Linked DNA regions of Mus musculus. The main gene of each other region encodes a partner of the protein of the gene in region 7 in a complex. Links are inferred from orthologs where the notes say so. Each region holds a gene or a part of one and is shown on either strand. Other genes may lie near its edges. The genes, in order: Rnaseh2b, Mcm7, Fen1, Pold3, Cdkn1a, Pold4 and Pcna.

The links.
Region 1: the proteins of Pcna (region 7) and Rnaseh2b are in contact, whole or in part, in a crystal structure (PDB 3P87), measured with the Homo sapiens proteins. The link is inferred for Mus musculus from reciprocal best matches to the Homo sapiens genes PCNA and RNASEH2B. Residues at the interface, in NP_002583.1 of Homo sapiens: Met40, His44, Val45, Ser46, Leu47, Glu124, Leu126, Gly127, Ile128, Pro129, Phe207, Ala208, Asp232, Val233, Pro234, Tyr250, Leu251, Ala252, Pro253, Lys254, Ile255, Glu256; in NP_078846.2 of Homo sapiens: Asp290, Ser292, Gly293, Met294, Lys295, Ser296, Ile297, Asp298, Phe300, Phe301.
Region 2: Pcna (region 7) and Mcm7 share a complex: the UniProt entries of both Homo sapiens proteins name them as parts of the replisome complex. The link is inferred for Mus musculus from reciprocal best matches to the Homo sapiens genes PCNA and MCM7.
Region 3: the proteins of Pcna (region 7) and Fen1 are in contact, whole or in part, in a crystal structure (PDB 1UL1), measured with the Homo sapiens proteins. The link is inferred for Mus musculus from reciprocal best matches to the Homo sapiens genes PCNA and FEN1. Residues at the interface, in NP_002583.1 of Homo sapiens: Cys27, Asp29, Met40, His44, Val45, Ser46, Leu47, Ala67, Met68, Gly69, Asn95, Ala96, Asp97, Leu118, Met119, Asp120, Leu121, Asp122, Val123, Glu124, Gln125, Leu126, Gly127, Ile128, Pro129, Glu130, Gln131, Glu132, Glu201, Pro202; in NP_004102.1 of Homo sapiens: Arg19, Phe27, Gly28, Arg29, Lys30, Lys80, Val167, Lys168, Ala169, Gly170, Pro188, His208, Ser210, Arg211, Leu296, Lys297, Trp298, Ser299, Glu300, Arg332, Ser335, Thr336, Gln337, Gly338, Arg339, Leu340, Asp341, Phe343, Phe344, Lys345.
Region 4: the proteins of Pcna (region 7) and Pold3 are in contact, whole or in part, in a crystal structure (PDB 1U76), measured with the Homo sapiens proteins. The link is inferred for Mus musculus from reciprocal best matches to the Homo sapiens genes PCNA and POLD3. Residues at the interface, in NP_002583.1 of Homo sapiens: Met40, His44, Val45, Ser46, Leu47, Glu124, Gln125, Leu126, Gly127, Ile128, Pro129, Thr206, Ala208, Asp232, Val233, Pro234, Tyr250, Ala252, Pro253, Lys254, Ile255, Glu256, Asp257; in NP_006582.1 of Homo sapiens: Ala453, Asn454, Arg455, Gln456, Val457, Ser458, Ile459, Thr460, Phe462, Phe463, Gln464, Arg465.
Region 5: the proteins of Pcna (region 7) and Cdkn1a are in contact, whole or in part, in a crystal structure (PDB 1AXC), measured with the Homo sapiens proteins. The link is inferred for Mus musculus from reciprocal best matches to the Homo sapiens genes PCNA and CDKN1A. Residues at the interface, in NP_002583.1 of Homo sapiens: Cys27, Asp29, Met40, Ser43, His44, Val45, Ser46, Leu47, Ala67, Met68, Gly69, Ala96, Asp97, Leu118, Met119, Asp120, Leu121, Asp122, Val123, Glu124, Gln125, Leu126, Gly127, Ile128, Pro129, Gln131, Tyr133, Ala208, Asp232, Val233; in NP_000380.1 of Homo sapiens: Arg143, Gln144, Thr145, Ser146, Met147, Thr148, Phe150, Tyr151, His152, Ser153, Lys154, Arg155, Arg156, Leu157, Ile158, Phe159, Ser160.
Region 6: the proteins of Pcna (region 7) and Pold4 are in contact, whole or in part, in a crystal structure (PDB 6HVO), measured with the Homo sapiens proteins. The link is inferred for Mus musculus from reciprocal best matches to the Homo sapiens genes PCNA and POLD4. Residues at the interface, in NP_002583.1 of Homo sapiens: Met40, Ser43, His44, Val45, Ser46, Leu47, Val123, Glu124, Gln125, Leu126, Gly127, Ile128, Pro129, Gln131, Tyr133, Asp232, Val233, Pro234, Tyr250, Leu251, Ala252, Pro253, Lys254, Ile255; in NP_066996.3 of Homo sapiens: Lys4, Arg5, Leu6, Ile7, Thr8, Ser10, Tyr11, Pro12, Val13, Val14, Lys15.

What each region holds. Positions count from the first base shown.
Region 1 is NC_000080.6:62,370,068-62,373,496, forward strand, and holds the end of Rnaseh2b (ribonuclease H2 subunit B), read left to right. Parts: intron 1-404; coding exon 405-485; intron 486-2,292; coding exon 2,293-2,406; 3' UTR 2,407-2,929; downstream 2,930-3,429. UniProt on the Homo sapiens protein: Non catalytic subunit of RNase H2, an endonuclease that specifically degrades the RNA of RNA:DNA hybrids. Participates in DNA replication, possibly by mediating the removal of lagging-strand Okazaki fragment RNA primers during DNA replication.
Region 2 is NC_000071.6:138,169,084-138,173,246, reverse strand, and holds the start of Mcm7 (DNA replication licensing factor MCM7), read left to right. Parts: upstream 1-1,363; 5' UTR 1,364-1,490; coding exon 1,491-1,521; intron 1,522-1,980; exon of another isoform or gene 1,981-2,437; intron 2,438-2,850; coding exon 2,851-2,930; intron 2,931-3,522; coding exon 3,523-3,687; intron 3,688-3,773; coding exon 3,774-3,898; intron 3,899-3,968; coding exon 3,969-4,149; intron 4,150-4,163. Other genes in the region: Ap4m1 (AP-4 complex subunit mu-1), read right to left, coding at 179-275, 354-460, 768-898, 999-1,056. UniProt on the Homo sapiens protein: Acts as a component of the MCM2-7 complex (MCM complex) which is the replicative helicase essential for 'once per cell cycle' DNA replication initiation and elongation in eukaryotic cells.
Region 3 is NC_000085.6:10,198,632-10,201,393, forward strand, and holds the end of Fen1 (flap endonuclease 1), read right to left. Parts: intron 2,467-2,762; 5' UTR 2,448-2,466; coding exon 1,305-2,447; 3' UTR 501-1,304; downstream 1-500. UniProt on the Homo sapiens protein: Structure-specific nuclease with 5'-flap endonuclease and 5'-3' exonuclease activities involved in DNA replication and repair.
Region 4 is NC_000073.6:100,111,501-100,115,000, reverse strand, and holds part of Pold3 (DNA polymerase delta subunit 3), read left to right. Parts: intron 1-2,628; coding exon 2,629-2,731; intron 2,732-3,500. UniProt on the Homo sapiens protein: Accessory component of both the DNA polymerase delta complex and the DNA polymerase zeta complex.
Region 5 is NC_000083.6:29,092,486-29,096,568, reverse strand, and holds the start of Cdkn1a (cyclin-dependent kinase inhibitor 1), read right to left. Parts: upstream 2,801-4,083; 5' UTR 2,708-2,800; intron 1-2,707. UniProt on the Homo sapiens protein: Plays an important role in controlling cell cycle progression and DNA damage-induced G2 arrest. Involved in p53/TP53 mediated inhibition of cellular proliferation in response to DNA damage.
Region 6 is NC_000085.6:4,230,501-4,234,134, forward strand, and holds Pold4 (DNA polymerase delta subunit 4), read left to right. Parts: upstream 1-1,392; 5' UTR 1,393-1,591; coding exon 1,592-1,688; intron 1,689-1,914; exon of another isoform or gene 1,915-1,962; coding exon 1,963-2,052; intron 2,053-2,247; coding exon 2,248-2,359; intron 2,360-2,713; coding exon 2,714-2,738; 3' UTR 2,739-3,134; downstream 3,135-3,634. UniProt on the Homo sapiens protein: As a component of the tetrameric DNA polymerase delta complex (Pol-delta4), plays a role in high fidelity genome replication and repair.
Region 7 is NC_000068.7:132,250,381-132,254,500, reverse strand, and holds the start of Pcna (proliferating cell nuclear antigen), read left to right. Parts: upstream 1-1,320; 5' UTR 1,321-1,464; coding exon 1,465-1,685; intron 1,686-2,500; coding exon 2,501-2,598; intron 2,599-2,742; coding exon 2,743-2,810; intron 2,811-3,062; coding exon 3,063-3,257; intron 3,258-4,120. UniProt on the Homo sapiens protein: Auxiliary protein of DNA polymerase delta and epsilon, is involved in the control of eukaryotic DNA replication by increasing the polymerase's processibility during elongation of the leading strand.

The DNA.
Region 1 (3,429 bases), on a different chromosome or scaffold from region 7:
TGCTGCCCATGTTCAGTAGTGGCCATCAGAGCAGGCCAGGGCTGGAGAGAATGGGTTACGCTTGGCACAGAGCCCCAACAGGGCCTTTTGTCTCCAACTTCTGTGCCTTTTATTTAGCCCCCTCAACTGTACCCACCTAGTCTGTAACTGCTTAGAAGCCCACCGTGCCTGATACATACAAAGTGGGTTTATATCATTGAAGAGCTGCTGGAGCCATGTCGCGTACCTACTCAAGTGTGGCCAGTCATCACCAAGGCTGCATCTTGGAAGAGACATGTGGCTTAGTTCTTGAAGTGCTTGTCAACTGTAAAGGAGTTTGTAAAGTATGGGTCCCAGGGATATGTTTGTTTGAAAGGATGGTGAGAGAATGGGGTCTGATACGCTTCAATGCTCTAACATTGCAGAAACTAAAGTTATCAGATGAGCCTGTAGAAGCCAAAGAAGATTACACTAAGTTTAACACTAAAGACTTGAAGACCGGCAAGGTATGTGTGTCCAGGTGTGGTGGCATGCTGGCAACTCCAGTGGCAGTGTGTCCCCAAGGATGGCTGCACTGTTGACTGCACTTACACGTCTGACCAGGAAAAGTGATCAACTTGCATTTCTAGCAGCATAATTCATTGAGAATAGTTCACAATAGTGAACATGTTAGATTGTGCCAATCTAAGAAAGCCCTGTCAGACAGACTGGGCCTGAATCTTACCCTGTGTCCATAGAACAGTGGATGAGAGGGAAGCAACTTCAATTTTTTTTCAATACTCCTGCCAAGAAGATTCTCAGAAATTAGAGTAAATAAAAAACTTCCCAGTCCCGCCATTCAGCGTTCTCCTGCAGTGTCTGCTGAGTAACTTTTCTTGCTGGGTTTTGTTACACGTATCCTGAGTCACGTGATGCATTTATAACCTAGGTCTTGGCTCTGCCCTTTCATTTAGCATTACATAAGTGTGTACCACTAACCCTCCCTCACTACATGGGGGTGGGACATGGCACACAGTCATGTAATTTTATCACTTCCTGTATTTGGACATTCCGGTTAGTGACCAAGGTTTGTTTATCTGCTCTGACCACTTTATTACCCACGGTGAAAAAGACTCAGAGTTCAGAGTTTCAGGCAATTGAAATAGACAGCTAAAATACTTTCCAGAAAGGCAAGGAAACTAACTCCCAGATGCTGCCAGCGAGTGTCCTTCCTGCATCCGTGCCTGCCCTGAGTGCTACTTTTATTTTTGAAATTTTTGTTTGTCAGGTGAGACATTCCCTTAACTAGAAAGGTCTGTTTTTCCAGGTTGCCCATTGTCTCTTTGCATTTGTACAAACTGTCAGTTGGGACCCTTGCTTGTCTCTGTGTTGTGAAAGCAATGCTTTTCTGTTTGTGAGAATGTATTCCAGATAAAGGCTAGTAACTCTTTTCATGACACATTCAGGGTACAAGAAAATTTCCAGCATATTTTTAGCCATTTTGCTTGTTTTTTTTTTTTTAACAGTTGTAATTATTTTTTTTCCTAAGTTTAGATATATAGTTTACATTTCTGTACAGTTTCCCCATTTTTTCTTCATGCTTGCCCATCCCAAGAAACATTAACTCCCATTTAGATTTTATCAATGCATAATCCTTATATCATTTTTGTTGTTGTTGTGTTGTTTTGTTTGCTTTGTTTTGTTCAATTTTATTCCTTGGGCTTTGATAACAGAAGAAATTCCAATGTAAGTTTTGCCTAAATAGCTCTTTCTCCCAGCATTCTGTGAATTCACAGACTGATTCACAAAGTCATTGTGAATTATTCATCATTGGATGGCTGACACAGGTGGGATGCCACCATTGCTGCCGTGTCTGTTCATCACTGGATGACTGACACAGGTGGGATGCCGCCATTGCTGCCGTGTCTGTTCATCACTGGATGGCTGACACAGGTGGGATGCCACCATTGCTGCCGTGTCTGTTCATCACTGGATGGCTGACACAGGTGGTATGCCACCATTGCTGCCGTGTCTGTTCATCACTGGATGGCTGACACAGGTGGGATGCCACCATTGCTGCCGTGTCTGTATGGTTGTTGCATTTAATGCACCCTCAAAATGATTCCCAGAGGGAACCATCCTTGGAGCATGCAGCTCCTCGGAGTTGGGTATGCTTTCCTCTGCACCCCACTATCACATCTGGATCCTGAGTGGGCAGCAGGGTTGTTTGAGCTCTGCCACTCACGTGCTCATTGAACCAAGATTCAGGCTTGTGTGATTTGCATGTACGATAGTTTACAAATATTGTAAGTCTCTCTTTATTTTTATTAACAGAAAAATAGCAAAATGACTGCAGCTCAGAAGGCTTTGGCTAAAGTTGACAAAAGTGGAATGAAAAGTATCGATGCCTTTTTTGGTGCAAAAAATAAAAAAACTGGAAAGATTTGAAGCATCGAAAATAAAATCCAGTGAAGCAGAAACAGAAACTTGCCTCTTGCCTATTCTGTCTTGTCTCTTCTTGCCGCTGCCCCGACCTCCCAGACCCTAAGTCACTACGCTGAGAATCAAGGTACTTTCGCATCCTGCAGACACTTGCTGCGCTGTGACTTTGTGTCTGACAAACACAACCATTGTGGGAAAGTGATTGTGTGAACTGCTGTCCGGGGACTTTGGGACCTTTGCCATAATGAAAAGCCATCAAGTGCATGGGTCACCGAGTCACAGCTTCCCCAGGGAGGTGTGAGCATTGCCCAGGTGTTCCCTGCTCTGTCCTGCATGGCTTCAGCTGAAATGAGCTGGACAACAAAACCACACATTTTGGTAAATTTTATAATTAGCCATATCTTCGTATGAATTCATGTTCTTTGTAAAAATAAAAATCAATAAAACAAAATTGCAATCTTGCCCCTTTCCATTATGCAGGTACAACCAGGTAATTTTCTTAGAATAAAAACATTTTCAAGAGCTTTAATCATAGTTTTGTTGCTTTTTGGAGACTTTCGTTTTGTGAGCATTTCCCCAGCATTTCTCCAGGGTGTTCACAGACCAGCTTGTGAAGGCCTGGGCTGCGTGAGGCTCAGGTGGGGAGTGGTGTGGGGTGCTTGCCTTTTACGCTTGCAGTCCTAGATGCAGTCCCCAGTACTGCCAAAAATAAATACACGAATGCTTTTTAAAATAACAGTATAATTTTTAAGTATTTGGATATTTAATTATTGAATGACATTTTCCTGTACAACTCCTGCACTTAAGACTCAGGGGTCATGAGGAAGAGGGGGCAGAAAGGTTGTAAGAGCCAGAAGAGCAGGGCTCTGCTCTGAGATTTTAGCAGAAATATCTCGATATCAGTTATAAGGGTTGAAAAGGTTAAAGTCTCCTTGCATTCCTAGATTAAGCCGGATTGGATTGTGTTTATTCTTTCTACACATAGTACTAGGTCTTACTTTCTAATATTGCTGCAGCTTTTTATATCCC
Region 2 (4,163 bases), on a different chromosome or scaffold from region 7:
ATCTGCATTGACCTAGTGCTTGAGTTATGGTGGATCTATATTGGATTTAGCAGATTCTACAACAAGTAGAAGATACCTGATCTCCACACATGTGCAGTGATGTGGGCAAATACACACACACACACACACACACACGTGAATAAATAAACTTAAAAAGACCAAAGTTTTTGGGCTTTACCAGCACTTCATCCAGGAGTTCGTAGACAAGCGCCACATTGCGTGAGATGGTTCCCTCATTGAGTGAGCCACAGTAGTCACCCAAGAGAGTGGCTAGCCTAAGGAAACACAGCAAATTATGTGTGAATAAACCTCACACGCCCTCCTTCTTAAGTGCCTGTCCCAACTCTACTCACCGGGAAAGCAGCTCCAGAAGGCTGAAAGGAGAGACGTTTTCTAAGGTTGTGGCCACCAAATAGAGCCCACTGTGTCTGATGTGAATAAAATGACGATCACCGTGATACTGAGGCAGAGTTGAGGACAGAGGCCATTAAGAAAAGACCAGAATTGTAGTAAGGAAACCTGCAAGATGGCACCCTGAGGTCTACTAGTGATGGGCGATGCCCCAGATCTAAGACCTGGCCGCCTAACGTGGAAAGGTAGTATCTACCTCTCAAAGTTGTTGATAGTCAAAAAATAGGGTGCATGGCTCTGTAACTGGCTTCTTGTTAGTACTCAAAACATTTATAAACAAATCCTCCCCACACACACACCCCCGCCCCCAAGCTTCCTACCAAGCTGCCCTTGACAGGGAGGAGGCACTCACCCACCTCCACAGTTCTAAGGCCCTGCACACCAACCACAGTAGTTACCATGACAACCGGGGACTCGCCTCCAGGCAGTCCCGTCAGCTTCCGGTAGAAGAGCTCTGCCACATCACGACCACCACTGTCCCCGCGGACTAGCCAGGTGGAAAGATAGTTAAGGAACAGGCGACACAGACTGATCTGGATTCGATTTCTACCCAGCTACCCTACCCCGTCTCCCGGGTCAAAGGATACAGTCTTTATAGATGAGCGGATCCCCCTTGGAAGACAGAATGAAGAACTGGGAAATCATGGCGGTTCTGGAGGATAGACGAGAACACGGTGAAAGTTGAACCCACCCCGCCTTGTGGACGCGGAACAAAAGGCCGCACGGAGGCTGGCGCTTTAAGAAACACTCCTCCCACACACACACTCGCGAGCATTAATTTCGAACCGCGGGAAACAGGGTGTCCAACCCGCCAGGATCTGGCAATCTTTCAACGGCCCGCCCTCAAGCCCCTTGTCATTCAATCTAGACTCGTCCATTGATTGGTTAAAGTTAGGGGCTGGCAGCAGTTGGGAACCCCCTATCTGATTGGCGGGTTCTCAGCCGCACGGGTCACATGGGTGACGACGTTTCGCGCCAATTTCGGTTGGCCGGCTACGTCCCGCCGCGCGTTCGTTTTCTGCTTCCCCAGAGAGAGATTTTTGAGCCCTTCAAGTCCTGCCACACCGTCCCCGGCAGCGATGGCGCTTAAGGACTACGCGATCGAAAAAGGTGAAGATCTATAGGGCTGGGGGCGGCGTCCTCGGAGGGAAACTTCTACCTGCACCTGTTGAGGGGTGCTGGAGTCTTGGGGTCGGGCGGGGGAGGGGGAGTGAGCCGGGATCTGTGACTCCGAGGACAGGCGAACTGCGCCTGCAATAAGCAGTGGGCGTCAAGGATGGAGGAAGCAATCCTCCTTGGAAAAGGTGATGTGTTTGTGTTATGGAGAGAACCCAGTGGAGTCCACAAAGGAGGGGCGCGCTCGGTAGAGACCGGGTGACTTGGTTCAATGCATTCAATACGTGACCCAAGGGACTAGGTTACTGGGCCAGCCTCTGCTGCTCGGGGCGCTAGCGAATTCCCGCGTCCACTGGAGACTGGCCGAAGTCCAGAGGCGGGGCTTGCCAGACCGCTACGCGCCGCGATTGGTTGTTTTCGGCCGCCCTCCAAGCGGAAGTAGAGGCGGGCGGAAGTGGCGCTACCCGATCTTGGGACTGTCGTGTGTAAACAGTGTCCTTCCGCGCGGTGGCCTCGGAGATAGCTGCAGTAGGTAGGGGCGTGCCTAGAATTGGGAGGCTAAGCGCCCGGTGGCGAAAGGTGGCAGTGTGGTGGACCCGAATGGCCCTTTGGCGTTCTGGCCAATCCCCGCTCGGCCACCCGTCTCGGGCGGAGGAATCCTGGGCTGTGAGGCGGCTGGAATCTGGGCCCATGTGCTTCTTTGTTTACTAAGAGCGGAAGCAGTGGCGGGAGCCGGGCATGAGTGCAGAGGAGGCCTAGTGGCGGACGTCCTGGCGGGAGCCTAAGAAAAAGAGTTGTACTGGTAGAGCGAGAGCCGAGGACCTTAAGTCGATTGGGAGCGAGCTGAGAGAATTGAAGAAACTGAGATTCCTAATTAAGACAGAGTGTGGAATTCTCTTGGGAAGGTTGGGTAAGACTCTTGTAGCTGCCCGAAGACCTATATTCTTCTCTGTGTAAAAACGGACTTGTGAAAAGGAACACTGCCTACTTTGGGGAGAACTTGGTCGATTTGTTTTCAATGTTCATTTAACTAACTAGTTCATAGGTTTCGTCTTAAGTGAAAGTGGGTTTCTTAGGTTTCTGTTAAGAGTTTGAAATAAAGAATCTAAAAGGAAAGTTGATTGTTTATTTTATTTATTTTTACATTATTTTGTTACATTATTGTGTGTGTGAGATCGCACGGGCATATCATAGTGCTGGACACCCGCAGGACTCTGTTCTCTTCCAACCTGTGGGTGGGCCCTAGGGATTGAACTCTAGTCCTTGGCAGCAGTGGTCTTTACACCTCACTGCAAAGACTTGGTTTTTATTTTATATTTGTAGAAAAAGTTAAGAAGTTCCTCCAAGAGTTTTATTACGAGAATGAGCTTGGAAAGAAGCAGTTCAAGTATGGGACCCAGTTGGTAAGTCTCAGGATTGGTTCTGGGGAGTGGCGTGGCGTGTTAAGAACTTGTATAAGGTTATCTCAAGTCTGGCTATCAGTGAATGACTTGATTCTGATTGTTTTTATACAAAGTTGGGTTTTTGTTTTGTTTTTAGCTTAAGGGTTTTCTTAGATGTTTTAGTCGTGTTTATTCCTATGTGTTTGTGCTCACAGGGGCATGCCATAGCATGTGTAGAGGTCAAAAGGACAATTTGTGGAAGTCTGTTCTCCCACCATGTGTGTTCTAGAGAGCAAATTCAGATCATCTGGCTAGATGGCTATGTCTAACCTGCTGAGCCACCTCATCCATTCCTAGCTCTTAGTTTTTAGGGGTAGTCTTTGTGTGGCTCAGACCACCATCAAGAACACGCTGTGTAGCTACATAGCTGAGGTTGGCTTTGAGCTCCTCACTCTGTTGCCTTCTGAATCCTAAGTGCTGGGATTATAGACATCTACCACCATGATGTACTGCATTCTGTTCTTTCCCCAGTGGTAGGATAGTGACTTTAGAAGAGCTTTTGTGGGTGAGGTGAACTTGACCCTAAAGTGTTAGCATCTCTTCTTTACCTCAGGTTCATCTGGCTCATCGGGAACAAGTGGCACTGTATGTGGACCTGGATGACATAGCTGAAGATGACCCTGAGTTGGTCGACTCAATTTGCGAGAATGCCAAGCGCTACTCAAGACTGTTTGGTGATGTTGTGCAAGAGCTTTTGCCTGAGTACAAGGAGAAGGAGGTAGGTGGCTGGTTTGTTTCTGAGCTCGTCTGCCTCGTGCCCTGTTTTCTTTCTCTGTCCTGCCTCTCGCCTTTTCTTTCTTTTAGGTGGTGAATAAGGATGTCTTAGATGTTTACATTGAACACCGGCTGATGATGGAGCAGCGAAGCAGAGACCCTGGGGCAGTCCGGAACCCCCAAAACCAGTATCCTTCTGAACTCATGCGAAGATTGTGAGTATCTCTGTGGGAAAGGGCGGGGACTTGCTCTCCGGGGACTTGCTGACAAATGTTTCTCTTTTAGTGAGTTGTATTTCCGAGGCCCAAGTAGCAGCAAGCCTCGAGTGATCCGGGAAGTACGAGCTGACTCTGTGGGGAAATTGTTAACTGTGCGTGGCATTGTCACTCGTGTGTCTGAAGTCAAGCCCAGGATGGTGGTGGCCACATACACTTGTGATCAGTGTGGGGCAGAGACCTACCAGCCAGTACGTATACAATT
Region 3 (2,762 bases), on a different chromosome or scaffold from region 7:
CCACTTTAGTGAATTTCCTTTTAACATATACATAGCTCATTCTCTGTTGTTCTCTGGGAAAACCTAAATGTATTAGTACTCAAAAACTTTCATTCTTCCCGGACACCTGAAATCTCAGTAAGAACAAGGCTTCTTTTATTTACCTACTTGTTTTATAGGTTTGTGGAGACAGGATTTGTGTAGCCCTGGCTGGATGTTATAAGATAGTTTATCTAAACTACAAGACTGTTCCAGGGGACTCCTTTATCTCACAGATGGTGGAACGTGTGAAATCCAGTCAAGCTATGCAAACTCCTAAGTACAAAAGGCTGGTGCCACCACAGCTGCTGTGGCCACCTTACATGGGCACAGCGCCACCTTGTGGTCAGTCCTAAACTAACCACTTGTTACCAGGGCAATCCCAGCCAGGCTGTAGGGGATTTTAGAGGGGGAAAGGAAACCATTATATTTATTCTACAGGAAACTAAGGCACTCAGGGTGTTTTCAAACATTCAGACACATTCTGGTCACTTTTATAATTTTATTGTTTTTTTTTTCTCTTCACATCTTTTAAAATAGAAATAGCCTATGAACAACAGTTTCTTCTCCCAAAACCTCAATTCAATTGATTGCCTCAGAAAGGCTGTCAGAACATCACTTGGAGGCACAGGTCAGTGGCACACTTAATGCCTTTGCCCTGGGGTCAATCCCCAACACTGGAGAGGGGAGAGACAAAAACAAAAAACTACAAATCAAAACTTAAACACTGCCATCTCACTCCCTGCACAACTACTGGACTCAGCAGGCAGCAAGTTCAAATTTCTGCCCACAAAAATCAGCTGGTCAGTACTAAATCTGTTGTCAGCCAGACTTCTCTCTGCTCGTCTCTTTGCAGTTCTTCCATCAGCGAATCCCAGGCTGATGGGCATCTTTCAGGGCACAGTGAAATTAGAAGGAGCAGTAGTCAGTCAGGTTCTAGTCACCTCTCCTCCACCAGCTGGCCAGCTGGGAAACTATCTCCAGCCTCGCTCCCGGCTTTATCTTCTTCTTCCTTAAGACATTGCTCGCAGTTGCACAGAACAATGACTACAGTGTCCATTAACCTGAGAAGTGGTTTGAGCCTGACATCTTTCCTGAGCTAAAAATGAGAAAAAGCAGAGCTACGGCCTTCCTGCCACAGGGTCAAGAGAGGGAAAGCTCTGAAGGGCAGCGCTGGGAAGCAATGAACTCTCCTCAAGACGAGGGACAAGAGGGATGTGCTGCAGCCGAGGGTACAAAACAGATAGACAGCCTGGGGTCAAGGACAGTGGAGGGGAAGGACAGGTTTATTTTCCCCTTCGGAACTTCCCCGCTCCCCCAGTCTTTGCTTTCTTCTTAGCAGGCCCCTTGGGTTCTGGCTCCTTGCGCTTAGCTGAGGAGAGTGAGCCTGTCACCTTGAAGAAATCATCGAGGCGTCCCTGGGTGCTGCCCTGGCGGCTCTTACTCAGCCGCTTGACCCCACTGCGAATTCGCTCTTCAGAAAACTGCTTTTCACCACACATAAATTTGACCAACTCTTCTTCATTTGGCTCGCTCCACTTCAGCTCCACAGACTCTGGGTCCAGTACTTCTGGCTCCAGGAAGAGCTGCTGGGCTTCCTTGTGGAGCCAGTTCTCTGGAACGGGGTACTTGCTGGGGTCCAGCCGCCTCACGATCTCCTCGATGCTCTTATGTTTCTGGATGAGATCCACAGCCCGCTTGGGCCCAATGCCACGGATGCTCTCGCAGTAGTCGCTACCCAGCAGGATGCACAGATCCACAAACTGCTCCTGGTTCAGACCCAGCTCCTGCAGGACGCGGCTCAGATGGAACTCTTGGATGGGCAGCTTCTTGGCCTCACTGGCAGTTAAGTGTCGCATTAGCACGGGGCTGCCAAAAGTGAGGCAGTCCATGTCCTCCGTGGCCGCAGCATAGACTTTGCCAGCCTTTGCCAGGGCAGCACAGCTGGCCTCTGCCTCGCTGGGTGCATCAAGGTAAGGGATGCCCATGAGGCTCAGCAGGTGTTTGCACTCATCATTGTGTTGCTTGGTGACCTTCACGAGCCTCTTGGTGAACTTCTCCACCTCCTCCTCCATCCCAGCCTCCTGAGCCTGCTGCAGTTGCTTCTCAGCCTCGGCGCGCCTCTCACTGCGCTTGGCCAGCTCGCCTGACTTCAGCTGTGGTGGTTTGCCATCAAAGACGTACACAGGCTTGATGCCATTCTCCATCATGCGGATGGTACGGTAGAACATGCCCATCAGGTGGCTGGTGGTCTCACCCTCCTCGTTCTGCAGCACATCCCCACCCTGACGAACAGCAATCAGGAACTGGTAGATGCTCATGGAGGCATCGATGGCCACTTTGCGACCAAAGTAGCTCTTGATGTCATTCTCACGGATGGCACTGGGGGCCACATCAGCAATTAGTTTGGCAAGGCCGTGAATTCCCATGGTAGCACAGGAGCAATGGCTAAAACAAAGAAAGAAGAGTAAGAGGAGGAACTTGGAGGATACAAAAGGAACAAAAGTTTTAAGTGGCAACATTCACCAGTCTCATGGTTCATCAAACTTAACATGAGACACAGCAGGACTCCAAGCCAGCAGAGCAGAAGAGGCAAAGGTGAACAAGATCCACCATTCTCAAGCAGGCCTCCTGACAATCAGAAGCTGTTCTGGGCGCTTCAAGGAATGAGATCTGGGATGTTCTTTTGTTTTTGTTTTTTTTTTTGGTTTTCCGAGACAGGGTTTCTTTGTGTAGCCCTGGCT
Region 4 (3,500 bases), on a different chromosome or scaffold from region 7:
TTCTTGAGAAAACAAAACAAATTCTTGTTTTTAGTTCTTTTTTTAAAGTATTATTTAACAGACAAGATCCTTCCTCATTGACTTAAACATGACATCTTCAGATTGGAAAAATATTATGGAGGACTAAAATTGGTTTGGTTCCAGGGGAGCTAAAGGAGAGGAAAGTTAAGGGTCTCGGGGAGGTTGTAAGTCATCATGTGCATAGGAAACATTCTGCAGCATGTCAAGGCTTTTCACTCATTTTAAAGAATATTTCACATATATTATTGTCAGAAATGGAGTACTTGCCTTTACTAAATAAGAAACGTGTTAAAGTAGGTATAAATTCCTTTTTAAAAAAGTTTGTTGTAAACTTCTCAGTAAGAAGGGAAATAGATTAAAAAGAAAACAAAACAAAAACAAGTGAGAAGAGAAACTAATATGGGAACAGCTGGGGTTTATTTGGGGAAACCTGTGCAGAAGACAGTGGTTTGCTGACTGACCCAGGCAAGGTCAAGAGCTGTGGAGAAAAGACTAGTTGGCTGACACGCTTGAGAGCATGGTAGACATGGTATTTGCCTTTTTGGTTTTCTATTAGCAGGTCCTAATTAGCATCAACAGTCAAGAGTCCACCCCCTCATCTGCCCTTCTAACGTGGTCTCTGAAGTGGGGAAGATGTGAGAGAGCAAGGCGGAAGAATCCGTAAAACTGACAAATAGTGCACGCTTTGTACTTACGTAACTGGTGGTGTATGGAAAGGCAGCCTTAAAAACCTGTGATAGAGTGTGGTGTAGTAGATGTCAGAATGCATGATAGGGCGTAAGCTGTTAACACTCGGGAGGCAGAGGTGCTCTGCTTGGCTAGCCGTGTCAGAGAGACTTGGAGTAGGAGGAATTAGATGGATGGAACCTATATAGCCCTGCCTGGCCTGGAATTCCCTATGTAAGCCAGGCTGGCCTCAGACTCCCTCCCTAGGATTAAAGGGAGGCAGACAGATGGCTGTGATTCAAGTTCCTACCAATTTTAAGCTTACGCTCTAGGAAAGAAATGGCTGGTCCAGATGGGTAGGAGCCGTGACTCCTTTGTTTACTGCTTAGAACACAAGTGGGCACTCAGGAACGTTTTGATTCGTTTTTTTAATCTATTGACTTTTTTTTTTTTTTTTTTTTTTTACTGACTTGCATTTTAAAACTTCACTATGACAGCCTCACAGATAATGATGGTGAAAAGAGAATACAGGTGACCCTTGGACTTGAAATAGTCTAGTATAGCGTGTTGGAGAGCATAGAGTCCAGTCAAGAGTTAGTTGGGAGGGAGGACTGATGAGACTTGGCAACTCATTGCATAAGGAGAAAGGTAATGACTCCTGGATTTCTGGCTAAGGTGGTTTGAACAAATGATGATGTCATCAGGGAAAAAAAACCGAAGCCATGGAGTTGAATAAAATAGACAATGGAGGATACCACGGGGTGACCAACCATATCCCATTTCCCAGGAAACCTATCTGAGTCAGGCAAACTGGGGTGACTGGTCATACTAAAATAGGGTAAGATGGCTAAGGAGAGGAAAGCACAGAAACTGCAGGAAAAATGGAGCAGGTGTAGCAGGGGACTCGGCTGGGTATCGTGGAAGGTAAGCGAGGGAGGGCGTCTGGAGAAGACAGGGTTTCTTAGGCTTACTGGAGTAAGCCTGGTACTTACTGTGTAGACCAGGCTGGACTTGAACTCACAGAAATCCACCTGCCTCTTCCTCTAGGATAATTAAAGGCCTGTACCACCATACCTAGCTATCAGAATTTCTGAGTTTCTGGCTGTTCTCAACTGAAGTGTGATATGTTGTAGAAGCTTGCTAAATATTTCTTGAAATAAAGACAGATGATGTGCATCTTTTTATTGTTAAACTCCATTGAGGGGCATCAACTTCTGGTATTTTGGGTGGTTGGGATAAAAGTGAATAAAGACTTTACTGCAAGCAACACTTCTGCATTTAGTGTGTGGTTAATGAACATTTTAGATGTTGGCTGGTGTAAGCATCTGCTATATTCTACATCATGAAACATCTGACTGTATGTAATTCAGTAGTAACAGGTGAATATATATTTGTCATGATGTATATGATGACTTGAAGTATTTAACATAATGATCTCATAGAATTACTAAAAACCCCAAATCCTTTCCATCTCTAGGAAAGCACATATAGACTATTGATATTTGAGAATAGAGGCTTGCAGACAGTGTATGACTTCGGGTTATAAGAGTTATTCATGTAGTAATGCCACTTGTGCTTTATGCCTGAAGATAGGAAACCAAGAAAAGTTTATTCTGGATGCCATAGCTCGATAATTGACTCACTTTTGTATCTGCAGTTTGGCCATTGCCACTGTTTGACTATGGGTTCTGTCCCTCTTGGCATATTTCTAGATTTACCTCAGTTACTTCCTGGGTGTCTTAGCCAACTCAGATAAGTTGGTTCCAGTCCCATGCTCCATCTAAAGTTTTTTCATTGTTTTTTCAAAAATCTGTTCAGTAAGTAAAAAATTGTGCTGTTGAAGAAACTGTCAGATTTCATATATATGACTTCCAAGTCATGAATCCGGAGTCGATGAGGAAGCTGCATGCTAATGAGTCACTTCTGTCTTGTTTGGCACAGGATGCTCTATGAATATGTTGAAAGGAAACGGAAAGAAAATTCGGGAGCTCAGCTGCATGTTACCTACTTGGTGTCTGGCAGTCTTATACAGAACGGACATTCTGTAAGTTCTCTTGTAACAAGACTTCATGTTCATGAGATAGAAACATTATTAGAAATAACAGGAGGAAGAAGGAAGAGTGAATGGTATGGAAGTTTTAAAGTACCTCTTAAAGAGAGTGAGTGTTCTGAAATTTTAAACTAAATCTGACAAGAAAGGTTATGTAATATCTTGTCTGTGATGAGGAGACTGTCACTCTTAGTTACCTAGGAAATGAGACATTAGGGAATGGCTTTTCCTTGAACCTCTTTTTCCTTTTGAATACGTATTGTAGACACTGGTACTTAATTTTCATCTTCAAATTTCAAGTCAGATTCCAATGTTAAATAAAAAAGGAGGGAAAAAAATTAGGTGATTTGTAACCTGAGTACTCGTTTTGATAGGTCACTTGGAGTGGCCTGTTGTAAGGCCGAGGCTTAGCTGCTGGTACAGACAGGTGTTTAGGCTCCTGCATTCTTTTCTGTTCTTGCCCCTCTGCATGCCCGCCAGCTCAGGGTACTGTTGCTTTTTTCATCTCAACCACAACGCAGTCTCAGTCCCAGTCTCAGCGCTGGTGCTCTTTTGTTGACTTCCATTGTTTCCCTCGCGGTGGGGAACAGGTATTACTGAGCTCTTCCCAGGCCTTAAGCACCAGAAGCTCTGTTGCCTTGGACTGAATCCAGGGCTCGTTCATAGTTCTTGCACACCGGCTTCCTGTGCAGGTCTTCTCCGTCCTCACTTTCCTTGAGCCTGTCTGAAGACACCTCTGTTTCATTGCCATCAGTCCCAGGAT
Region 5 (4,083 bases), on a different chromosome or scaffold from region 7:
GATTCTCAAGGTGCAGACCTCAGAGGCCTAAAGGACCTCAGATGGCCTCTGCCTACAGGTAGAGCTTGGGGCCTATTCACATCCTTTAGTACAACTCAGTCATCCTCCTGCCTCTGCCTCTAGTGTGCTGGGATTGCAGTTGTAAGCCACCAAAAGCTATCGTTAATAGATGGCAATATCACATTCTTTTACGGCAGAGCTAATCCAGGTTCAGAATGTGTGTCCAAAGGCACAGGGCTCACAAGCGGGGTTTGAATTCAGACCCTTTTGGTCTAGTATTGATCATTCTCTCGTCTTCTCACCTTGAGGGGCATGACCAGAGGACTCCATTAAAATCAGCTGGAAAAGCTTTTTTATTAAATATAGACTGAGCTCCATGTTATGGGGAGAGTCTTTAATCCCAGCACTCCACCAGAGGCACGTGATCCTTATGAGTTCCAGGCCACTGGGCCAGCCTGTCTATATAGTACTGGTAGCTGGGGCCATTTTGTAAGCTTGTCTCTCTGTCTCTGTCTCTCTTTCACACACACACAGAGACAGAGAGAGAGATCTATATAGATATAGAAATATAGATTGGCTCATTTCCCCAGACAAACTGAGCCGAAAAACAAGTTTGGTGCCCTTCCCCAGACGGTAGCTCACAGGGGCCAGAGGAAGGAAGGGAAGACACCAATGGACTCGGCTAAGGCTGGATAGTCCCCAGTTTTTCATAGCTGAAGATAAGACCAGGAACCCAAGAGGGGCACGATCTCCACCTTGTCTCTCAAGGGCCACGCCTCCCTAATAGTCCGCTAGCACACCCTGCTAAAATCACTTGTATCTGGCCATCAGGCATATTTTAATTCCCTTTAAGCCGCGGTGGGGGTGGCAGAAGCCCGTGGTGCCACCCGCGCCTAGCCGGCCTTGCAGTCCTCACTGATGCCGGTAGGGGGCGCTGTGCACTCAGGAAATGGCGCTCGGTAGGCGGCGCGTAGGCCGAGCAAGGAGTGGTGAGTCAGTTTCCTGCCCGGCGCTGCCCGCCCGCCAAAACTGCTTGGGCACCGGAGCTGCGCGTCACCCTGGGGTGGAGAGAGGAGAGGAAAGGAGGGGGACCCCGGGCCACAAAACACGTCACGATGAGCCCAGGCTTCCTAAATTCCCGCCTATGTTGGGAAACCAGACTGAGCGCGCGCGCGCGCACGCATACACACACACACACACACGCACGTACACAGACACACACACACACACACATACGCACGCACGCACACACGCACGCACGGACACTCGAGAGCAAAGAAAGTGCTCTTAGCTCTGGCCCCCTCCACCTTGATCTCCACGCCCAAAGCACGCGATGAGTCAGATCCCTGGAAAATAAAAATAGATGAGGGCGAGGACAACAAAAAACCGCCTGAGTGTCCTCTCTGAAACGCGACGTAGGGGACAGAGGAAGCTGCCAGCGCGCCCCCAAATGCCAAACCCAAGCCCAAAGTATTTCCCGCACGACCAGGGTGCAAGTGTAGCCCTTGTCCCCGGAGGTTCCGAGTGGAATGGATGTGCCCTAGTGGGCGCACTCAGCCTGGTCACCTTCCTACACTGGGTGTGGACTGGGTCGAGGGCCCCAGCCCCGGGGCGTCTGATGTACGGCACCCGTAAGCCTCACTCCGCGAGGATACCGGCCGCTCTACAGTGCGGGCTCCTCTCGCGCCCCACGGTCACTGGTCCGGGTCGTGGTGGGCGCGGTGGGTGGGACCCTTTGCGCTTCCCGGGCTGGCAGGGTGGACAGGACCCGCCCAGACTCCCTGTCCCCGAGGGCGCGCCGCCGAGCGGGGACCGGACACCGCGTCCTGGACCTCCCCGTGTCCCGGGTTCCCTGGGAACATACTGTGCCCGCCAAATAGGTCACTGTGCCGCGCGGGGGAGGGGACGGGGCAGGAACGAGGCTGTACCCGGGCAGGGAAAGGGGCTTCTGGGCTGCCACTGACCCATCCCCAGTTGTGGCGCGATTCTGGTCTCAATCCAGTGCCCGGGGTCTCCTTGTCACAATGAGTCACCTCCTCGCCTGTCCTCTAGGACGTGCCCAGGCACGATCCCGAGGGCGGAGGACACAGCTCGCGCTGACCTCAGAGCCCAGTGGGGTGGTGGCTACCGCGAAACAGGGCACTTGGTTCACAAGGACCGGGGATCCGGCGGCACCCATGGGATCGGAGAACCGCTCTGCGCTAAGCTCTAGATAGACTCGCCGAAGCTTGTCACAACCGCCACCCAGGACCCATCTCGGGGCACCGTGAGCTTCATTCTCACGCTTTGGGCGAGCCGCACCTGGAATCCCTAGAAACATTGGCAACCAGAAGCGAGCTCCCGGTAGCCGATCCCCGCCAGCCATCGCTCGGACCCGGTCTCCAAGGACTGGAAGAGTGGCTGCCATCCGTGGTCCTGGAGTTCAGACTCTGTATGCCGAGTCCGCGACATAGCCTGACCCTCGTCACACTCCAACAAACGAAGCCTTCAGCCACCACGGACGCTCAGACCCACACCCGTCATCCACCTGCCGCGGACACACCTGTGACTCTGGCGGGCACGCACAAATACACATATACACACACAGGTGATCCACTCATCACCACACACACACACACACACACACACACACACTTCTGGGGACACCCACTGGGCTCAGCGCATTGCTACGGGGAAGAACTATTGTTCCCTGCCACGAAGCTCTCACCTCTGAATGTCTGGATATCGCTGTGGATCTGCGCCTGACTCCAATTCCCCTAGACTCTGACACCGCGGCGGCTCACACCTCTCGGCTGCTGCAGTTGGCGTCGAGCTGCCTCCTTATAGCGTCGGCCCAGGCCCCGCCCCCTCAGAGGCAGGACCAACCCACTCCTTCACCGATCCCGGGGACTCGCTGGCCCGCCCTCCCCTCTGGGAATCTAAGCCCGCGCCAGACAGCTAGAACCGGCGCGCGTTAAGAGGGCGCGCCCTCCCCTCCCCCACACCTGGGCTATTCTCTTGTCACGCAGCGCACCAGCAGAGCCACATACATCTATGAACAACAGTACAGTTAGAGCTGAGTGAGTGTTTATGGGTCTGTCCCTGACCAACTGTGGGAAGGACTAACTCTTTTCCAGATCACTGATATTAGTAAATAAAATCCTGGGTTTCGGGAGGTGGGTCTGTTGGTACAGTGTTTGCCTAACTTGCTGGAAGTGAAGCCCTGGGTTGGAGCTCCAGGGCCCCATAAACTGGGCATGCGGGGTCACGTCTGTAATAACAGCGCCCAGTGGGGGGTGAGGAGGGGGAAATAGGCATTCAAGGTCGTTTTGACAGCTACCTATTCCGATGGAGACCAACTTGAAATATGTGACACTGTTTCAAATATAAATAAATTGATCATTTGAGTATGATAGCAAAAGCCTGGAATCCTATACTTGGGAGATTGAGGCACGAGGGGCGTTACAGGTTCAAGACCAGCCTGGGCTATCCATTGAGACCCTCTCAAAAACAAAACAAGCCCATAAATAATAAAAAATAGTTTAAAATCCCAAGAAGTCCCACTATGTCTGGAGATTTTTTTCCCCCTCCTCCCAGAAGCCCCTCGGACATCGGGTCCAGAACGCGATCATTTCCTCCCTGTCTCACAGACGAGGAAAGCAGTTCCACAGAAGGAAAGGATGCTGTCAACCGCCTCAGAAATCGGGGAGATTGAGTCCAGTTCTCAGACCACGGACTACCAAGAAAAACAGCCGCCAGGCTCCTTACCTCCCCTCTCCCCTCTTCAGAAGCCAGCATGTGAACATTTCTCACACCATAATACATCCTGCAAGTGAGAGCATCAAGACCTGACTGGGACCACACTAATGGCTACCTGCTGACCTCTGGCAAGCTGCCCAGAGTACTCTGCTTGCAGATTTCTTTCTCTGGGTCCAAAATGAGGGAAATGTCTAATACTCCCCCTCCCAAGATCCAGACAGTCCACTAAAATGACATTGATAAAGGACAATTCTAGAAACATCTACGGATGTTCCTGACAGACATAGCAGTAAGACATTCTCCGTTCCCACCTTCCTCCATGTCTCTAGTCAGTTTTATTTCCTT
Region 6 (3,634 bases), on a different chromosome or scaffold from region 7:
GCACCCCTGGAAGGAAGAACCGGATGGGCTCTCCAGAGGGTGATTAGTGCTGGGTCAGTCCAAGTGCTGGTTCCCAGACTCCCACGGGCCAGCATTTTCACCCGCTGCCAGGAAGTTGGTGAGGGGGAGGTGGTAGTAGGGGTGAGTCAGTGATGACAGGAGCCCCAAAACAAAGGTCATGGGTAGAGAATTGAGAGACGCTGTTTACAGCAATTACCTCCTGAGGTCTTCTCCCAATGCCTACCATTCTCCTCCAGCTCTAAGGCATTCGTGCTCCTGCTCTCCTGTCCAGGACTAACGACTGTGTATGTCCCTCTCTCTACCGCGCAAGCCTGGGAGCTTCTGCCGCACACGGGAAGCTAGTTAGTTACACAGTAGCTGTTACTAAGAGCACTTCTGCAGCACACGGGAAGCTAGTTAGTTACACAGTAGCTGTTACTAAGAGCACTTCTGCAGCACACGGGAAGCTAGTTAGTTACACAGTAGCTGTTACTAAGAGCACTTCTGCAGCACACGGGAAGCTAGTTAGTTACACAGTAGCTGTTACTAAGAGCACTGATCACAATTTGCCTACACTTCCCACTTGCAAAAAAACTCTTTTGATATCTATTTTGAGTTAGCATGTGGGAGATGCTTAGAACTCGGCACATGGAAAGTCCAATATGAGGGTTGGGTTTATTGAAATTATTTTCTGCTCATGATACACATTCAGAAAAAAACAAAAACAAAAAAACAGAGCAGATCTGTCAGTTAAGAACTGGGGATATGAACCCATGGAGAATGGAGACTATACTTCTGGCGTCCTGCTTGGAATGGAATCTTCCTGACTAGCAAAGTGGACAGAGGCAGGCTGTGGGACTTGACAGCGGCCACAGCAACCGCATGCCTGGGCTGGGTGGACAGTGGCTCTGCCAGCAGACTGTGAGAAAGGAGCCTTCTGAGCTCATGAGTTTCTCCAGCAAGGTCTCCTGGGGCCAGTAAGAGCAGCAGGGAAGGACCTGGACTAGTCCAAACTCTCTTTGGACCTACAGATCTGATCCCACAGCGCTCTAGGGCCAACCGGCAGGAGAAAAAGGTTCTCAGGGGACTTAAAAACTGGCCATGGGGATTAGTGAGGCTGAAAAGAACATTTGCCTAGGAAGGAAAAACGGGAAGTGAGAGGCCGAGGATAACTCTCTATATGTCCCAAGGGACCCAAGTGGACCAATGAGAAACCCGAGGAGGTGGTGAAGTCTGGGGCATCTTGACAGGTTCTTGGTTCCGCCTAACCCCTCCTCACTCGAAACGCAGCAGCAGCTACCCCGCCCCCCGTCTTCTGCCGATTGCCATTGGCTAGAATTAAGGTCCCGCCCCGCAAAGGCCGTTTGCCATTTGCTTAGGTCTCTGATGTTTGCGTGCTTGTGGGGGCGGAAGACAGGCGTCATTCCCTGGAACCTAGGGACTTCCTCTCTCTGCTTGTCTGGGTCAACTTGTCTGTCCATTGCTGGCCCATCTCTCTCTGGCCCCCTCTCTCACTCTCAGCAGCTGTCTCTCACAGGCCCGCTGCCCTGCCTTTTCTTTGCCTCCTGCTCCGCCTGCCTGGGTGGCCGCCATGGGTCGGAAGCGGTTCATCACTGACTCCTATCCTGTTGTGAAGAAGAGGGAGGGGCCCCCTGGGCACAGCAAGGGAGAGCTGGCACCCGAGCTAGGTCTCTAAAATGTGGGGGTGGCAGGAAGAGTGGACATGAAGTGACCAGAAAGGACTCTGTGTGTGTGTGTGTGTGTGTGTGTGTGTGTGTGTGTGTGTGTGTGTGTTGGCTAAAAAGGGAAGCTAGCATGTCTCGCACTTCCGATGAGCTGTCTGTCTGCTGGATGGCAAAGGCAAATGGGTGGGGAGATTGCCAGGATATAGAGTCACAGCTCTAAGTCCAGGGTAGGGCAAAGGCCTGGATGTGCCTGAGGAGCCACCACATGTTATTGCAGGGGAAGACACCCAGTCCCTCAGCCAGGAGGAAACAGAGCTGGAGCTGCTGAGGCAGTTTGACCTGGCCTGGCAGTATGGGCCTTGTACAGGTGAGCACCCCATTTCCAGTCCCTCCCATCAGGCACATCTCTGAATCAGTTCTGTTATCAATGTGTCTCAAAAGTAATCCTGCCTAGCTCTTGGACACTGTCTCCTGAAACTGACTATGGAGGCTCAAGAAACTGCCGTCCATGTCCACTATCCTGGATTCTCCTGCCTATCCTGTCTTCTTTTCCTGATGGCAGGTATCACAAGGCTGCAGCGCTGGAGTCGGGCAGAGCAGATGGGCTTGAAGCCCCCCCTAGAGGTGTACCAAGTGTTGAAGGCACACCCTGAAGACCCTCACTTCCAATGCAGGTCAGGATAGGCTGGGACAGCTTTCAGGGGAACCAGGGACTTCTCCAGGAGCTGCCACCCTCTTGGTCTACGTAGGGGCTACCTTGACTTGGAGAAGTGGGAACAGACTTAGACGGTCCTTCCTGTCAAGCAAGAAGAGTCTGGCTCGAGATAGATCTCGATAATGATCCTTACCTCTATGAGCTGATGGTGGGGGACGGGTATATCTAGGGCCCATGGAGCTATCCATGAGTCCTGAGGTGTTCACCAGAGCCACAGGATTGTAGGCAGTAAGTAAGTAAGAACTAGAGACAGTCCATCAAGGAACAGAACTGATGTGGCTATGACTTCCTTCTCCCACCCTGTCTTCCACAGCCTGTGGCATCTCTACCCACTCTGAGGTACCCCCACGTTGTCCTTCTCTGGGCACCTCCTAGCCACCAAGAACTTCAGGACAGACATCATGGCCTGCTCTGCTCATTCCAACCTTGGAGAAACAGCAGGCTGACTGTGGAGGTCTTCCTGGTTCAGCTTCTTCTCCATCTAAACAGCAGGCTGCTGAAGCTCCTGGGACCTGTGAAGCTGAGCACCTCCACGCCCTAATCATGACCACCAGATGCCCACCCGCCACACCCCTGACCTACGGTGTGGCAAATCCAGCACAGGCTGGCATAAACCAGATGTCGGCAGATAACCTAAAGGGCCCACCTTGGGCATCTAGCTGAGGGCACAGATGAGTGAGTTATTGGATCAAGGAGCTCACTAATGCTTACAATAAAGTACATTAAGCCTGAGATTCTGACCTTACATCTCTTAATATGCTCTAATCTAGCCGGCAGTTCCCAAACTGTAAGTGGGCTGGAGAGCCAGCTACAGGCTTTTTTTTTTTTTTTTTTTTTTTTTTTTTCTTTACTTAGGCTGGCTACAAACTCAGAAATTTGCCTGCCTCTGCTTCCTGAATGCTGAGATTAAAGGGTCCCAATATGGGGCGGGGGACAGTGCTGTGACTGGGATGTAAAGTGATTAATTAATTAACTAATTAATTAATGGGGAAAAGGTTTCACTATGTAGTTCTGTTTGTCCTAGAACTCATTATATAGACCAGGCTGGCTTCTAACTCACAGAAATCTACTTGCCTCTGTCTCCCAAGTGCTGGGGTTAAAGGCTTGTGTTTCTATACCACAAGGCTTCCATATCTATTTTTCTAAGGCAGTCTTTTCAAAAGCTGAGTGGCCTCTGGTATTCCCTGGTAGAAACTCACTCTAAGTTTCCTTCCCTGACCAGCCAGCAGAAAAT
Region 7 (4,120 bases):
ATAGCTCAATAAGTTATACAGTTTTCTGGCTAAATCCCCAAGCCAGGAAAAGAAAAATCAAACAAGACAAACTAAAGGGAAATGCAGTGAATAAGGAAAGAATAAATGAACATGAAATGGAATTAATATGCTCCTATGTAAACTTTTTCCCCTTTGGTCAGTCTTGGTAGATAGTCCAAGGTGAGTTTAAATCTAGGCCCTCCGACCTCAGCCTTCCCATGTGCTGGAATTATAATCACTAATCACTCTCACCAGCTAAAACGGTCCTTTTAACTTTCTGAAATTGTATATACCTTATTAGTGAAAAGCAAACAAACAAAAAACCCTTACACACATAAATAAAACATCACACACCAAAAGCTTTCTTCACAACTCAACCAACTTCTATACAGTTAGAAGAGGCATTCCAAATGGAAACTATCAAGTTTCACATTAAAGTATTACACTTTCATTATCAAATATATTTTACCTACCACCAAAACCAAAAGAAAAAAACATGAGAAATTGAAAAACTCTATATCCTTTTGTAAATGATGTTAATCTACCTGCAGTCAGTTCTTCCCCATCCTCATAATCAATAGGAAAAACAAAAAAACAAAAAAACTTTAGTAGAACAAAATGCTGCAGCCCAGGGACATATGAAAGACGCTCCACCTGCAACAGCTAACATTTTCAGGATGGGGCTCAGGCTCGGGTTCATCTTCAGCCTAAAATTAAGATGAAAATACTAGTAATATCTACCTTTAGAAAAATGTAGAGAACCAGACATAAAAGGAAAATAATTACGTGATACATATGGACTTGGTATCTTCTTTGGAGAAGCGTTCACGTTAAGAGGTATTTTTTTAGTCTTTAGAGAGAAAAGTTCAGAGCGACGCACACAGAAAAGTGATATGAAATGGGGGGGGGGGTAGGGGTGTTAAAATATGGTGGCCTCTTTATTACTCGATATTTTGCAGCGTATTTCTTACGTTAGGGAAAACGCTCCGTAGTGTTTAAAATACTCTCCAGCTTCAAGGCAGGCCGCCGCGCACAGCTCGATTTGCCTGTGACTTCCACTTCCGTGGCGCGGAAACTTCCTAAGGATGGAAACTGCAGCCTAAACTCCCACAAACTTGGGCGGTGACGACAGCCTACGCGAACCCCGTGATGCCCCTCGCCTCCCAGGCTCCTACCCCGCAGCCCCGCCTTTGCATACGCGGTGGGGCGGGCCTTGCTCAAACCACGGGTACGATTGGTCCTTGAGGAGAGGTGGGTGGATCAGCGCTGTGGCGTCATGACCTCGCGCAGGGAAAAGGCGCGCGCCTAGGAAGCCGCGGCATTAGACGGTTGCGGGCGCAGAGGGTTGGTAGTTGTCGCTGTAGGCCTTCGCTGCCGCTTCTGCATCGTGAATCGGGGGACCTTGGCAGCCAGACCTCGTTCCTCTTAGAGTAGCTCTCATCTAGTCGCCACAACTCCGCCACCATGTTTGAGGCACGCCTGATCCAGGGCTCCATCCTGAAGAAGGTGCTGGAGGCTCTCAAAGACCTCATCAATGAGGCCTGCTGGGACGTCAGCTCGGGCGGCGTGAACCTGCAGAGCATGGACTCGTCTCACGTCTCCTTGGTACAGCTTACTCTGCGCTCCGAAGGCTTCGACACATACCGCTGCGACCGCAACCTAGCCATGGGCGTGAACCTCACCAGGTGAGCGGGTGGCGGGAGCGGGGCCCCACTCTTCCCGCTTCCGCTCTTGGCGGGGCTGTGACTCTGCACGCTCATTGGCTGGCTTGGCCATCCGCGCTTTCTGATTGGTCTATGGTGTCGGGGGCAGCCCTCACCAAAGCGCGCGGTTCCGAAAAGCCCGCGCTGGCAGTGGCGCCCACTCTGTTTCCGCGCCAAAGCCACAAAGCGGGAGTCCGCGGGAAAATGAGTGCTCCGGAGCTGTGCTCATTAAATGCCTGCAGCTTTGAGTGGCTGGTCTTAGCGCCTAATAAACGAGTCTTAGTGCAAATGTAATGTCGACTTAGAGTGACAATAGACCTTTTCTTGACTTCCAGAGTCTCACTGCGCATCATGGATTTGAGGGGAAATCTGTCAGTTTTAGCTTTTAACTTTGCTACAGCTACCTAGGTTAGTGCCTCCTGTATACGTGTTCAAGGACAGTGTGTGACTTATTTTAGTACAGATACATGGATTAGTGCCACTTGTATACATTTTGAAAGATTTACGAAAAGGCCAGACGTGATGGGGCACATTCTCCAGTACACTAGAAACCAAGGACACCCCGCTCAAAAAGATGCTTTCTCGAATGTTGGCTTTTAGTGCATTTTACTAAGTCGGTTTTAAGAATCACATATACCCGGTAATTTGCTTCACCCCTGAGAGAGTTTGGGGTACCCTTAGCCCCTTTAACAGTTCTCCAACCGTGAGTGTGAAATGGTACAACTTGTAATTGCTTTTTAAAATATAGATGTGGATTACATGTTGATAAAGCCTGTCTTTTTTTTTTTCCCCCCTAGCATGTCCAAAATTCTAAAATGTGCTGGTAATGAAGACATCATTACATTAAGGGCTGAAGATAATGCAGACACCTTAGCACTAGTATTCGAAGCACCAAGTAAGTTAAACACCTTTAAAACTCGGTAGTTACGTGTTGTTTCTGTTTCTCAAAACCAAAAAAAAATATTAACAATATTGTAAAATTTCCATCATAGATAGGACCGTGTGGTGTGCTTTGGTAACATTTTCCTTCTTTTGGTAGATCAAGAGAAAGTTTCAGACTATGAAATGAAGTTAATGGACTTAGATGTGGAGCAACTTGGAATCCCAGTGAGTTACCTTGTTTCTGATTGTGTGTTACCCTGCTGTGATACCAGCTGATGCGTGTTCTGAGTGGAGTGGTGGTATTGGGGATGAATGGCACACTGCCATTTCACTAAACCACAGCAGTCTAAAGTTGATTGAGTTTTAAAGAAACCAGAAGTCTTGCATTCTGAGTTCTGGTTAAGATGCTAAATCTTGAGAACATGAAGCTGAGCCTTCCCCCTTTTCTAGACTGACCTTTAACTTGTGGGTTTACAGGAACAGGAGTACAGCTGTGTAATAAAGATGCCGTCGGGTGAATTTGCACGTATATGCCGAGACCTTAGCCACATTGGAGATGCTGTTGTGATATCCTGTGCAAAGAATGGGGTGAAGTTTTCTGCAAGTGGAGAGCTTGGCAATGGGAACATTAAGTTGTCACAAACAAGTAATGTGGATAAAGAAGAGGAGGCGGTGAGTAGTAAGGGGGCGTCCAGTTAGGTGTCTGAAGCAGGGATGGAGCCTCGGCTTTTGTTTTTATTTATTCATTCATTTTGAGATGGAGTCTTGAGTAGACCAAGCTATCTTAGAGCTCAGAGACGACTCCATAAGCTTTTACAGGTAGCATTTGGAAAGCTAAGTGTACAGCCTTTTGCTTCCTGGAAATACTCTTGGCAAATAAGTGAGGGTTGGCAAGTGAGCAAAAGAAAATGGTTGGGGGTGTATGTAGCTTTATGTGTTGCAGGTTCAAGAGTATTTGCAGTCCCAAGGGAAATAAGAAAGACTTCACAAAATGTGGAAAGAGTTGTATTAAATGCTCTTGACAGTTACATCCATAGAGAAAGCTGGGCATGATGTCTCAAACCCACAACTGTAGTACTCAAAGCTACAGCAGGAAGATTCTCAGCTTAAAGTCAACCTGGCAGAAAATCTAGCTCAAAAAGAATGAGGAAGAAATTGGGAAGGCAAAGGAAGATGTTCTCCGAGTCCTCCTCATTCAAGTAGAACATACTAGGCCTCTTTAATTTCTAAGTATCCCTGAATCGAGGCTTTTTCTCAGGAATCCAATGTATATTTCATGGCTACACTTTTTTTTTTCTTTTTTAAGTTTTGCTAGCTAGCCTGAGCATCAGAATTACACACAGAAGTCTGAACTAAATAGGATTTTTAGGGTTTAGTATAGTGAAATTCAGAGTGCTTACTGCAAGTATTTAAGGTAAATATAAGGTGTTACTTGGCCTCTGCATGAATTTAAAGTAAATGAAAGTGTAAGAATTCGAACATAGATAAACACACAACCCAAGAACTAGTTCTTAACCTTAATCTGCTGAATTATT